2 linked regions of the Rhinolophus ferrumequinum genome follow. The main gene of each other region encodes a partner of the protein of the gene in region 2 in a complex. Links are inferred from orthologs where the notes say so. Each region holds a gene or a part of one and is shown on either strand. Other genes may lie near its edges.

What was found. Proteins that work in one complex are often made in the same cells at the same time.
Region 1: the proteins of GBA1 (region 2) and SCARB2 are in contact, whole or in part, in a cryo-EM structure (PDB 9FJF), measured with the Homo sapiens proteins. The link is inferred for Rhinolophus ferrumequinum from reciprocal best matches to the Homo sapiens genes GBA1 and SCARB2. Residues at the interface, in NP_000148.2 of Homo sapiens: Leu130, Asn131, Ala134, Ile169, Glu190, Lys194, Leu195, Pro430, Arg434, Ile445, Thr446, Asp448; in NP_005497.1 of Homo sapiens: Lys161, Ala162, Tyr163, Gln164, Lys181, Glu183, Leu187, Phe191, Arg192.

What each region holds. Positions count from the first base shown.
Region 1 is NC_046288.1:32,521,136-32,528,252, forward strand, and holds the start of SCARB2 (lysosome membrane protein 2), read right to left. Parts: upstream 3,073-7,117; 5' UTR 3,058-3,072; coding exon 2,833-3,057; intron 2,808-2,832; exon of another isoform or gene 2,706-2,807; intron 641-2,705; coding exon 483-640; intron 1-482.
Region 2 is NC_046305.1:268,940-276,036, forward strand, and holds the start of GBA1 (lysosomal acid glucosylceramidase), read right to left. Parts: upstream 3,037-7,097; 5' UTR 2,967-3,036; coding exon of another isoform or gene 2,939-2,966; intron 1-2,938. Other genes in the region: protein ENTREP3, read right to left, coding at 5,426-5,599, 5,694-5,947, 6,059-6,127, 6,718-7,097. UniProt on the Homo sapiens protein: Glucosylceramidase that catalyzes, within the lysosomal compartment, the hydrolysis of glucosylceramides/GlcCers (such as beta-D-glucosyl-(1<->1')-N-acylsphing-4-enine) into free ceramides (such as N-acylsphing-4-enine) and glucose.

The sequences.
Region 1 (7,117 bases), on a different chromosome or scaffold from region 2:
ACTAAAACAACTCTCCTAACTCCCCAGCATTTGGAATTGGTGGTCACTGCCTAAGACTAACGCATGCTGCTTCTGGTTATCTCTTATGCCCAGAAAAGCGGGGGGGAAAGGAATGAATAAGAGGCTGAAAAGCCTGTCTGCAGATCAACAGCAAATTTTAGGAACTGGTCTAAAACTAGTGGGGGAGGGAAATAGGGGAAGGCACTAGAAGTCACTAAAGAAAATAAAAGGGTTGGGGGTGAAGAGTAGCTCTTCATGGCTCAGTAACCACATTCTGCCAACTCAGGAAGAAGCAGCTGCATTTCTAACATTAACAGGCTGAGACTCAACTCCAGGCTACAAAGCCACTGTCCGGCAGATGTAATCAAAACCTGTGTTCCCTACGCAACACCCAGAGGATGCCCTTGGGAAAAGATAAGGGAGTCAGGCCACCGTGTGGTCGCTCCATATTTCCAGTATGCAGGGAGGCAGTCAGGACTCACCTGTAGGTGTATGGCCCCACTTCTTCTAACCGAGGGATCTCCCCTCTGAGGATCTCCTCTGGATTGGTGACATTGAAAAAATAAAACTGGGTGTACACTGGCAGAGGCGGCTGCTTCCAGGAGTCAAAGGTCTCGGAACCATTCCTTAGCACAATATTCTAGGGAAGAAAACCAAAAGGAGATTTACAAAGTGTCAGGCAGCTGGCTTTGAACACAGAGGCAGAGACAGGGACACTCCCTTCTCTGACCTCCTCGTGGCTCAGTTATTTTTTTCACAGGCATTCAACTGAAGTCCCTTAAGAGCAGGGCCGTGCCTTATGCCAACATGAAGCCCATGGCCCTACTTAACCATAAAAGGTCTTCAAAAATATTCTGGGAAAGAAAGGATGCTGGAGCTATAGTGCCTGGGTAGAAACATGGTGTGACTAAGAGCATAGACCTTTTTTTAACAGCTACAACAGTGTATTTACAATTAACTCTTCATTAAGATATTTATAAGACAACCTATTTTACACATCAGAAATTGTATCAAAATTACAACACAGACAACAATATGAAATGGGCATAAAACAAAGCCGAAGTGGACAAATACTTTCTCTTTTTAATTAACACTAGCTTAAACTTTGTTAAAGAAAGTATCCAAAAGGTCCTGTTGGCTTTGTTACAAAGATTCCACCGATAGTAGAGCTGCTGTAGAAGTTAGGCTATTCCGGGAGGCATGGTGCATTCCCAGCTGGCCCACATGAGAGAACAGGGAGATAGGCCCACGAAGGCTAGCTTTGTGCCTTTCACTTGAGATATAACCACACCCATGCCTATACCTCCACCACCAGGCTCTACAAGCGTTTTCTCACTCAATCCCCAACAAACCTATTAAGAGGACGCTTACCCCTGTTTTAACGATGAGGAAGCTGAGCCCCACTTGAGGTTAAGTGCTTGAGGGTGTTCTTTGTCTACAATCCTTCCTTCGTTTTCCACCCTTAACACGTGTTATAAGCTGAACTGTGTCCCCCCAAAATTTGTATCTTAAAGTCCTAACCCCTATTATCTCAGCATGTGACTGTATTTGGAAATAGTCTTCAAAGAGATATGCAAGGTTAAATGAGATCATTAGGGTGGACTGTAATCCAATATGACTAATGTCCTTATGAAAAGTGTATATTAGGACACACACAGGAAAGAACATGTGAAGACACGGGGAGAAGACAGCCATTTGCAAGCCAAAGAGAGAGGCCTCAGAAGACATCAACCTTGCTGACACCTTGACCTCAGACTTCTAGTACCCAGAACTATGACACAATAAGTTTCTATTGTTCAAGTCGCCCAGTCAGTGGTATTTGTTATGGCAGCCCCCGCAAACCCAAACTAACACACCATGGCCCCCCCACAAGAAGAGCCCCACTCTACTGACTTCAGGCTTGGCCAAGTGATTTGATTTGGTCAACAGAACGTGGGTGGAATGCAAATGCCCCAATTTTAAGCTAAGGTCTTAAGAGGCACAGCAAGTTTCTACCAGCCACTCTCAGCCAAGAGAAAAACCTGCCCCAGGTAGCTGTTGATCCTTCAGCCAACGCCCTAAAATGGTGATGTGTGGACCGGACATGAAGCCTGAACTTCAGCCTCGTTCAGCTGAACCAGCCAAGTTAAAATGACAGCCAGCCTGCACACCAGACTATGAAATAAATGTTACTGTTACAAGCCGCTGAGATCTGGAAGTTTGTTATCCCGCATTATCCTGCATTGCTACGGCAGCCTGAATAATATCACGCCCAAGGTTAATTGACAGAAACCTAGTAATATCTAATAGTCCTAACGGTCCTCAACTTGTTAATAGAGAAAAATTACATTCTTACAGTAAAAATTATTGAAGTACACAAGAAAAATAAAAGAAAGCATAGACTGCAAATAAAAAAAAATGTGAATAGTGATTAACTGTGCACGTTTGAAATTTGTTGTTTTCTCCTTAATGGGATTTTGCATTTTCCAAATTTTTATAATGAATACAAAAATTAACACTGAGTACATTTTTAAAAAGAAAATCAAAAGAGGAAAATGGAATCTACTGATACAATATAAGCCACTAGTGAAACAACAACTAGATTCCAAGAGAAGCATCCCCTGACGTCAGCTGTCCTTCCTCTGGCAGTGAGGATCTGAGTGACAACAAACAAAGGGACTGGCTTCAAAGCATGTTAAATACCACATGCTAAAATGTACCTTGAGTGCTCACTTCAGCAGCAATATGCTAAAATTGGAATGATACAGAGATTAGCATGGCTCCTGTGCAAGGATGACACACAAATCCATGAAGTGTTCCATAAAAATAAAATAAAAAATAAATAAAACGTACCTGGACACAGCACACAAACAGGATGTCAAGTTTTAGTAGTCCAGACCTCCAATTTAACAGAAGTAACGTTGCAAGGGAGCTTAGTGCTATTGGTCTATTATTAAATGGAAAATATCTCAAGAATCTTTGCAGGGAAAAACAAAGTGGCTGAGGAATAAATGCATGCAGCAAACCAAAGCTTGTGAAAGCAAAGCTTATCATCCGGAGGGCTGGGAGGAAATTCATGTCCACTACTTGGCCATATCTGAGAACTGGGCATTGCTTGTGGTTTGGCATCAGTTCAGAATGTCTATTCATCAGATTTCTATCCAAACCACACGTTACTGAAACATTCTTGGACTTTACTATCAGAACTGATTTACTGAGGTAAGATCGGATTGACGAGAAGGAAAAAATTAAAGACAAAGCATGAAAGCCCTTTCCTCCAATTCCGGATCCAGCTCAGACTGTGTCCTTGGTGAAGCTCTCCCCTCCCTGTCCCAGCACTGGATCTCTCCCTGCCCCACTCACTGGACAACCTAAACCTAACCAGTCACTTTCGGCAGTTTTCTTTAAGAATTTCCTGGTTTTTTTTTTTTTATCTTATCTGCTAAACTGGAGTCTTAGCTATCTGAAAAGCAAGGGAGAGAGTCAGGCCCAGCGAGTGAGAAAACACCACTGTGAAGGCCCTCAGGTAGAACAGATAAAACTCAGAGGCCCAGGAAGGATGAGGTACTGTGCAAAAGGTCACACAGCTACTTAATGTCACAGCTGGGTCAGGAACCCAGTGCAGCTTTTCTCCATTCTTCCGCCCTACCTCACAACAGGTTAATAAAATGGATATAAATATACCACCCATTTTAGTTATACAAATTATACGGTAGAGTTCCTCCACCATAAAGTATGCTTACAGCACCAGAAATAACTCATTAACATGAATCTCATCTGCCCCAAACTATGTTAACTATGAGAAAGACAACATATAAATAACAATTTGTCTTCTGGAGGATTCTCAAGGCCCATTGATGTTGTAAAAGATGTCTGATTTCATTAAAATAAGGACCTCTTTTTCTTGTCCATAAGTATTCAGAAAAGGGCAGGGCAATAATGTTCCCTCCTCCATGAATTCCTTGAGTAGCCCCCTTCAAATGAATGGGTCATCCCTTCCTTTCTACCCTGCAACACATTATATAGGAATTTCTTAGGGGAAAAAAGTGGTCAGGACAGAAAACATTTTCTACAAATTTAACAGTCATCAACATGAAGCAGGTGACATTAGCAACTGAAAATAAAAAGGACAGTGCAGCTACTCAATATGGTAACATCAGGATAACTGCTTCCTTCTCAAAAATGGAACAGAGGTTTTGTTTTTTCTTTAGTCCTCCCCACAGCGTCTAGGTCAATGCAGTTCCTGGAGTATATCTACTCAATCAACAGAATATAGTACTAGAAAACTTGCTCACTAGCTTCCATTGACTTTGCTTAGAAGATGTTAGGAGATAATTCAATATGAGGCTTTGAGAGAAGAAGAAGAAAGCCACGAACGGCCAAACCCAAAGCCACAGGGCCAGGTTTTGTAACAGCAGCTTGACAGCAACAAATCCAAGTGGCTTTTAAAGTGGACCAGAGGAAGTGGCTGTTCAATGACCATTTTACTTACGTTCAGATATGGAGAGAGTAATAGCTCATTTGAATCACAGACACACGTAGATCTAACACCTGTCAGTTTGTACATCTTAGTAATCCAGCACCCTCAATCATGAAGTGTGGCCAGTACCTTTTGTGGGTGGAAAGAAAAATCTGTGTCCTTCCATGACCCCTTTTACTAACAAATACCGGGGGTGCCAAAAAAATGTATACACATTTTAAGAAATGTTAACACTTTGATCAGTGTTGCTCAAGCAGTAGTTTGCCATCATCAGAAGTGTCTACATGCTGATGGGAACCACTTTGAGCACCTCCAGGAATTGCAGAAGTCAAATGTGACTCGTATTCATCTTTTGTTATCGGTATATATTAATACAGTTTTTTCCTTTCTTAAAATGTGTATACAGTTTTTGGGCACCCTCTGTATTTAAAGCAGTGCTATATGCATGGTTTTCTCGCAAAATATAGAACTATGCATGTAAATCATGAAACACTATGCATGTGCTAGCTTTGTAGGAGATACCCAGCAACACAGATATGGTTTCTGTGTTCTAGTGTTAGGTAGAAGTTAGAAAATGTAGGAGGACGAGGAGGGGTGGCAGGGGGTCCATAGTGCCTACAGAAAAAGCTCGTAACTATCTTTGATTAACTGACTCCAGACATGTATCTGTTTTTACAACAGATGGCAGGAGGTCATCTGGAGCAAGATAAGGATCGGAGTCAATAGACCTCCACCCATCTTAGGAGGTCACACCCTCCGGTGGAAGGGCTTGCACCACTTTCCCCGCCAATCAGTTGTAACTCCCTCACCCCACCCAGCAAACTGTAAGTCCTTGGGACAAGGGCTCTCTCTATCTATCTCTCTCTCTCCCTCCCTCTCCCTTTCCTTCTCCCTCTCCCTCTCCCTCTCCCTCTCAATCTCCCCCCCTCTCCTACTATTCTCTTCCCTGAGAACATATCACTAATAAACCCTGCTTGCATATTAATCAGCTTGCTGACCTTTGATTTATCTCTGCATCTGCAAGGAAAACCGAGACTCTCTTAACACTAGGAGCTTACCCTCTAGGAGAATATTAATACACACATGTAAGATCATCAACAACAAAACAGCATGTGATAAAATGGCCAAGGAGAATGTGTGTATACCAAACAATGATCTCTATAGAGTTCAGACAATGGATTTTATGAACGGAGATAGAGAAAGGTGATGCTTAAAGTGAGGCAGGAAGAATGAATAAAAATCTGGCAAGTAGAGGGAGGTCATGGGGTGGGTGCCTGATGGACAGCCAGGGTCGAATGAACTGTCCTGTCTGGCTGGACAGAATAAGCCCTTCCTTCCTGCTTGCTCCATGTCCATCTTTCCTGGAGCCCTCTGCTTAATTAGAAAGATAGTGGCTGTGGAGAATGAGACAATAAAAGATACAGAAATGGGACAGTATTAGGTGTGACTGAGTGTGAGTTTTATAGGGAGTAGGGAGATTTATTTCGAGAGGCAGGTTGGGGGGTCACAGGAGTCTAGATTTTATCTGATATACAATGGGGTTTCTGAGCTTCAGAATATTATCAAGAGCCAGGCAGTATGTTGTCGCTTTATCTCATCTACTTTGCTTAATAGCCTACAAGGTGAAAATCATCTTTCCAATTTTACATTTCAGGAGACCAAAGCTCAAAAAAGGTTAGGAGTATGTCTGAGGTTTGCCAGTAGAATGTGGAGCCAGCCTCCCACCCCAGGGAATCATTACAAACCTGTGCTCCTAGCAAAGGTGAATTTCATCAGAACCCAAAGTTCCTGGAAAAGAGCAATGGGTCAGAAGCCCCTCCTTTTGTCTTCCAGGAAATGGCTTACTGCAAAGAAACACCCTTCCCCATATGCCTCAGATAAGATTCACAGAAGTCCCCCTGTGTTACCTAAGACACGGCCAGGCACCTCCAGGCTCCCATTCTTTGCCTCATAATTGATCACCTGAACTGCTTGTTCCCACCAATCAACGGGAACAAAATGTTTATTAACGTACAGTGTGGTGACCATAGTTAGTACTGTGCTGTATATTTTGAAAGTTGTTAAGAGAATGTCACCACATGCAGACACAAAAAGGCAATTCTGCGAAGTGATGGATGTGTTAATTAACTTGACTGTGGTAATCATTTCACAATGCATATGCATGTCAAACATCATGTTGTACACCTTAAATAATATAATTTTTTATTTGTCAATCGTGCTTAAATAAAGCTGGGAGGGGGAAATGCTTGTTTGCCAAATATTGGTTAAGTTTTTCTCCTTCCGAGACCTCTTTACTCCTTCCTGCAAAACAAAAACCCTTCTGGCTAACCCTTGAGGTTCCCACATACCATAGCCAGTTCTTTTTGCAAGTCCCACTCCACCTATTGCAATAGTCCTTTCCAATTTGCAATAATCCTTTCATGTAGTCTCTCCTTACCTAAGTCAGATTTGGTTTTTATTGGAGACTCCTATTGTGCCATGCCACCTATTTTGAATTGACACAGGCAAGAAGTGCTTTAAAAGGTTACATCAACACAAGTGGGAAGGAGGGCATGGCTAGGATTATTGTCAGGATTAAAGGAGGTCTCAGCAGAGTGCTAATCTCAGGCCACACTCAAAATGCTCAATAATCAGTGACTGTGATTTCCCTTCAAGTTG
Region 2 (7,097 bases):
GTCCTACGCTGAAGCCCAAGCCACTCTTAGTCGTTATGTCCAAGAATGCTCCCTGAAATATGCTCCCTGAAAGAGTCCAAGAAATATGCTCCCCGATATTTCAGTAGCATATTTTTAGCCTTCCTTAATGTGATAAACACGTGCAGAGTAAATTTCATGGGTCCTATTTCTTTGGAACCTCAAAACATTCCACTCAGAGGAGAGCACAGACTCGGGGCTCAGTGTTTGCTGAATAAGTAGGTTGTTATCAATCACAGTCCGCTATGCAAGGCCCTGCCTGTCGGGTGTTTCAGGGGCGTCCTTGGTGTGGTTTGAAGGAGAATGAACTTCAGAAAGAACGAACCTAACTCTGAACATGATTATTAGGGTCAGAGAGAGACCCAGTGGAGGGGGCTTGGTTCAGGCTACCGGAAGGACGGCTTCAAATACTGAACACCCAGGACCTGCTGGCACATTCCCACTGTTCTGAGCCTGAGGGGACAGACAGGAAGTATAACCGTTATAGTTATTCAGCCTTTATTTCTTCCCTCCGGTAGTCAAAGGAGACGTGTGTCCAAGACCTCTACCTCATTTCTTGTTTCCTCTGGCCGCCACCCTTTCTCTCCTGTCCCCTAAAGGAGAAGACACGGGGAAGGGTGTTTTAGCATGGACACCGGAGGGATTTCACAATTTAAATCCTCGCTCCATGACTCCCTACCTCTGAGATACTGGGAAGTTACTTGACTTCTTGAGCGTGTTTCCTCATCTCCAAAACTCTTGCCTCAAGGGTTGTTAGGAGGATTTAATGCAACACTGCATGTAATGTTATTGTTCATGCCAAACTTCTGGACCGAATTGCTACACTCGACGAGTCCTCTCTCAGACTTCCTCTTCTCCAAAGGCCAACTCCGCCCTCCCGGCTCCAAAACCGCTCTCACCTGACTTTTTACCTCACTTGACACAGGACCCCTCCCTTCTTGAAGTGCTCTCCTTTGTTCCCATGACTCTGCCCTCTCCTGGTTGGATGTCGCCCCCACTTCTGGCTGCTCCTTCTCCTTTGCAGGCTTCCCCGCCTCTTTCTGCCTGCAGGTGTTCTTTGAGGTTTTATCCTCGGCCTTCTCTTCTCGTAAATCACGCCCACTCCGAAGAGACAACCCCATGGCTTTGATTACCTACTAGTCGCTTTTGGTTCCCAAATCTCCACCTCCAACCCCAATCTTTCTCCTGCGGTGGAATGCAATCTCATGGGGCCGTGAGAACTCTGCCTTCCAGACCTTTCCTCTGTGTGTCTCCCATACACCTCAGCAGGCCCATCATGAGATCGTCCCCTCACCCAGCCAAGCCCGCTCTTCCTCCTGTGTTCTTTCCCCAGGAATGGAAGCCCTTCCTCCCGGAACCTGGGGCTCCTTCCTGACTGTAACCCCTGTCCCCCTCGCCCCATCATTTCTCTCCTGAACTACAGAAGCCTCTCTCTTGGCCTCCTAACCTCCCCTTTTCTCCTCCAATCCATCCTCCAAGAAGAACTAGATGGTCTAATTAAAATATAAATTCCGAAGCTACACTCTCCATCCTCCACTCCTTCAGTGGGTTCCACTCTGCCCTGAAGAGGGCTTCGGGGATCTTTGTCCCACCTTCACGTCTCACCCCTCCATTTGCACATATGGTCCACTGGGCTGCGTCCCATTTCCTTTCATAGGCTGCGTTCCACCTTGCCTCTGCTCTCCTCTACGCCACCCGTCCTTTCTTTTTCTCTCTTGAAAAAAATGAGTAACTCCTCTTTTCCATCACGAATGCCTCAGCCTTACCATTATTGCCATTAGTACCATTTTCCTGACACCGCTGGCTGGATTAGGCACCCCTTCAATGAGCTCCCCAACTCATACAGTCAACAAATAACGGGCGTCTACTACGTGCCGGGCACTGTTCTAGATCCTGGGGCTACCGCAACAAATACGATGATGAAGCTCCTAGCTGTTTGGAGCTTATGTCCTAGAAGCTGGTAGACACAAAACCAGGCAAACTCATGTGGCCATGAGAACTAGGAAGCAAAATAAAGGGGTAAGGCGTGCTGGATAGAACCAGTGAGGGGGATAATTGTAAGACATGACTTTAGAGAAGGAGGCCAGGGGCCAGCTTCTGCAGGGCCCTGGTGGCCAAGGAATCTGAATTTTGTTCTAAGATGGAAATCCACTGGAGAGTTTGGTGCAGGGAAGTGAAAAGATCAGATTTATATTTTTAAAAGGTCATTTTGGCTGCTGTGTAGAAATCAGACTGTAAGGGGCAAGTGCCAAGACAGGGAGACCAGCTGCCAGTTGGAACCTGCCACAGGACTTGTCCCCTTGGCCACAGGACTTGACCCCTTGTTCTCCATCCTTCGACCCTGAGTCCTCGCAAAGGGTCTTCCTTCCGTATGCATTCCTGTTCACCTCCATTCAGCCTAGTTAATGCCTATTCATCTTTCAGAACTCACTTCAGACGTCATTTTCTCCAAAAGATTCTCTCCCTCCACACACACCTCTCCTGTAACACAAGCTCATAGCCCTTACGTCTCCTTTGTAGCTCTTATCACAATGAATTAATTGTACAAGTGGCTTAATGTCAGTTACGGCGCCCAGTGGCCTGCTAACTCGTTTGCCTGCTGTTGGGTCGGTGCGTAAGCCCAGGAGGGTACGGACCAGTCTGTCCTGGCTCCCAGGCGTATCCCCGGGGCGCGCGGGGCGCTGGTCCAGGGCCCCACTGAACGTGTGTCGAATGACTGAAGAATACATCAATTACACAGACCTTATTCCCACTCCACCCCTCAAAAAACAAGAGGAGGATTCGAAGATTCGGTCCCTTCTTCTTCATTACTAAATTACGACCATCCCTACAAATAATAGCAATGATGACGAAAAGGAGAAGTGCAAACGCAGGGAGGGGAGAGTTAAGACGCAAACGGTGCTACATCCAGCGCGCCTACCGTGGGCGAAGCGAAACAGCAACCCCATCCGGAGGCGAAGGGAAATCCCACTGCAGCCCCGCAAAGCCGGGGGGGAGGGGCTGGAGAAGGGGGCTCCGCCGAGCCCGCGCCCGAGAGGCTGCGCCCCCAAGACGCGCGTCCGCGAGACGCGCAGGGGGCGGGGCGGGGCGGGACCGGGCCCCTTCCGCGCTCCCTACTGGTCTTCCTGGGGCCGAACGGTTCTCGTTGACCAGCCGTAGCCCAGATGCGGCGCAAGCGTATTCGGGGGTCTGCTGGGCGGCGGGAAGCGCGCGTGCGCCTTGGCGCACACCCGCCAGCACGCTGTCCTGGGCGGGGGGAGACTGAATTCCCTCAGTGAGTCCAGCCCCCGGAAGTTGAGCGGGATTCTTGAGCTTCCTCCTTCGAGAACCTCAGGATAGAGAACATTCAGTGCCCAGAAGCTGTCCCTTTGGGAGCACCAATTTCTAGTCGCTCCTACCTCATTTTGTCATCCAGGCCGCACCCCAACCCTCCCTGGGGCGGGGTTGTTATGATGGTGAATTATTCAAGAAGCCTCGCAGCCTGCCGCCATCTGTGGACAGCGCCCCTCCTTCCTCCCTTCCTTCCCTGCGGGGCACGCGGCTGTCGCCAATATCATAGGGTCGGGAAGCTTTCCAGGCCCCACTCTGTTACTTAAGTAACTTGAGCTTGTTGAGGACCTACTAAGTGTTAGACCCAGGGCAGTGAGCCAGTCCTTGCTCTCAGGAGCTTACGTTCCATGGGATCACACAGACGAAAGCAAGGTAATTTTAGATAGTGCTAAGTGCCCCCAAACACTGTGGCAGTGTGAGAGAATGACTGGGGTGGGGGTGTGGGGATGCTCAGTGAGAAGGTGAGAATGGAACTAAGACCCGAATTAGGTAAAGGCAGTGGCCACAGGAGAGCGCGTTGAGTGCTTGGGAAAGAGCTGGCGAAAAGGCGCTGACCATCGTCTCAGGAGGAGTTTGGAGATTATTCTAAATACAATGGGAAGCCATCAGATTTGGGCGGAACCTTGATGTGACATGATTTCTTATCATTTTGCCGAGTGGAGAATGGATTGTTAGAATGGAAATAGATCCATTTAGAGGCTGGTAGCTTGAGCTGGGTAGCTGGTGAGACATGGATGAATTCAGGATAGGATCGGATGTGTTGCTTGAGGGCAAAGAAATCAGGATGAGTCCCAAGCTTCTGGAATGTGCAGCTGTGTGAGTGGCGGCGCCACTTGTTGAGAAGGAACCGTTGCAAGAGGAACAGGTTCTGGAGGTGGGAATCAAGAGTTCAGTTGTGACCACGTTGAGGCTGAGATGCCCTTAGACATCCCAGGAGAGATTCGAGTTGGAGGTTGGAGCGCATGGAGAGGTCAAGGAGGGAGTTCTTCGTGAACACATAGCTGGTATTTAAAGCCGTGGAGCCCGTGGGTTTTGGTAGAGACAGCAACAGACAGAGTGGAAGTAGAAAAGGGCCGAGGGGAGAGCCCTGGGGCCTGCCAGAGTTAAGCAGTCCAGTAAGGTATAAAAATCGCAAAGGATAACGAAAGGGTAAAGTAGGAGGAAAAAGAGAATATGTCTTCAAAGACTAGAAAGGGAAAAAGTCAAGAGGAAAGACGCAGATTTTCTGAGTAAATGCTTCTTAGAGGTCAAGTGAGATGCAGGTAGAGAAACGGTCATTTCACTGGGTCTGGTATCTTTTGGTTACTGAAAATTGTCAGAGTAGCGCCTGAGGAGAGGTAGAGTCAGCAGCTGTGGGGGTAAGTTCAGGGAAGGAAGAAAACCTTTTTCTATGAAAAGGAGGAGAGATACAGTGTGGCAGCTGGAAAGAAATGTACGAGTTTTGGCAGAGTTTTCTTAACTAGGAGAGATGCTAGAACAAATTTCATTGGTGATAAAGCATGATCCAGAAGAGAAGGGGAAAACTGAAATTTATTGAAGGCTTAGTGTGTGAAGGCTTCTTAGCTTTAGAAACATTTGTCCTCACCATATTTTACAGGTCAGGCAATGGAGGTTAAATAACTTGCCCAAGGTCATGCAGCTAGAGGTGGCAGAGCTGAGAGGCCAGCCAGATTTTTATGACTTCATGCCTCACCACCCAATTGCGCAGACACACAGCCCCCTATGCTTAGACACCCGGGACATGCCTTGTCCGGCCATAGTTGCCCTGGCAAATCAAAGAGAGCTACTCTCGTGCTGGGGGGTCAGGACTTTTCCTCCTCCAGTGCTGTAAGCAGGGGCATCTCCCCCACAGCCTGAACACCCATGCACCACAGGACAGAAGCTCTCCCAGGCCAGAGGAACAGAGGCAAGCAGCAGGAGCCCCCAGAGGTAGGAGGGAAAGGGATTCTTTTGGGGGGTGTTGAGCGGATTTCTTTTTGTGCCAGCCAGTGCAAGGGAATGCTGGGGGCTGCTGGTCCCAACCAGCTGGTGCCCACGGCCCCAGTATTCATCTGTTCAGTGTGGCAAGAAGCCCAGGTCACAGCCCAGTCTCCCGGTTGCCCCCATTGAGGCTGAGGCTGTGGGGTCGGGTACCACGCTCCAGCCGGCGGCCAGACAGGAGGCGCCGCAAGGAGGAGCCGGAGCTCAGATCGCCACAGCTTCGAAGGTGGAGGCTCTCTCGGCCTGGCCGGCCCCACGGGCTCCGGGGCACCTGAAGGGACACAGGAGTGGGCATCAGTGTGGCCCAACCCAACCGGCAGCTCCAGGCTTTCCTGGGTATCCTCCCAGGCTCCCCTAATGCCTACCTGCTTATGCCCGTGGGCTCCATTCCCACTGGGCTCTGGGGCCTTCCTGGACATCTGGAGGAAACGAGTGACCAGGCCCCGGCCTGGCCAGCTGCCCTTCAGGTCCCCCAGGGAGTGGGCGGGTGCAGGGCCCGAGGGCAGGGGGACCTTCTGGAAGGTGGGCACAGGGCGCCGTTTCTCGGCTGAGTGGGCACGCAGCAGCTTGGGGGATGGGCATCGGGCTAGCCGGAAGAGGCAGGCGTCAGAGCAGAGCCCTGCAGAGAGAGAGAGAGAGGTTGTGGGTGGAAAGGGACAGGGATACACGTGCGGAGAGTGCCAGGCAGCACGCCTTGCCCCGACCCCTGGGCACGGACCACATGGCTGACCTGTATCTGCAGAGGAAACAGAAGCAACTTCTTCCTCAAGCACTTTGGTATAAAGGTCCCTGAAGTCAGCTGGGGAGAGAAATGGACCTAGTGGACATGCTCAGGGGACACGCCCACGCAGCCCACCACCCTCCTGTGAGGATTCAAGCCCACAGGCGCTTTCACAGGTCCCACGCCCCATCCCCTCTGCTCTGAGATGGGACAGTTAGTTCACCGACAAAGGGACAGGGGCGGCATCCTTCACAGTGGCTACCTCCCCGGGGCGGGCGGGCACACATGGGGGTAGTGAGCACGTCCTGGGCCAAGGCTAAGCATTTTCCTCGCGTTATCTCATTTCTCAGTAACTCTACCGTACCTATGGTTGGGGTACCATTGTGACACCTGTTTTACAGGTGAGAAATTGAGGCTTCGTAAATGGCCCAGGTGGGAGCTATAGAATTGGGTTTCAAAGAACAAATCCTGCTCCCTTTAGCCACAAAGCTATACTGATGTTGTTTTTTCTAGGAGGTGAACACTCGAGAAGTGTCTGCCGCAGGGGCGACTCACCCTTTCTCCTCGGGGACCTCGACAGTGTCCCAGATCTCTGGCAGCACTGGCCCTCCACCTCCCAGTACCTACCCTCCTGAACCTCGGTGGGGCGGGGTGGGGGGGCTGCTCACCGGTGTCGCTGGAGGTGGTGATGCCGGGGTCACTGTGGGACCGTGGCAGCAGCAGCGGGGAAGGGGGAGCCGGATGAGGAGGCCGGTGCCCCGGTGGGGTGAGGGAACCTGAGCTATCGCTGAAGCGGCGGGTGGGGGCTCGGGTGGGAGGGGCTGCAGCTGGCCTGCTGCCTCCCCGGGGGACCCGGCGCCTCAGCTCCGGGAAGCAGGGTCCCGCCCAGGGCGGCCAGCCCTCCAGCCGGTGACAGCTGCGGGCGGCTGTTGGGGCACCCAGCGGGGGTGGGGCTTCCGGGGCAGAGCAGGAATAGGAGCGGGCGGCCCGCGGCGGCCGTCGGGGCAGCGGGCTGTCCTCAAAGGGGCCGCGCAGGCCGCAGTCCAGG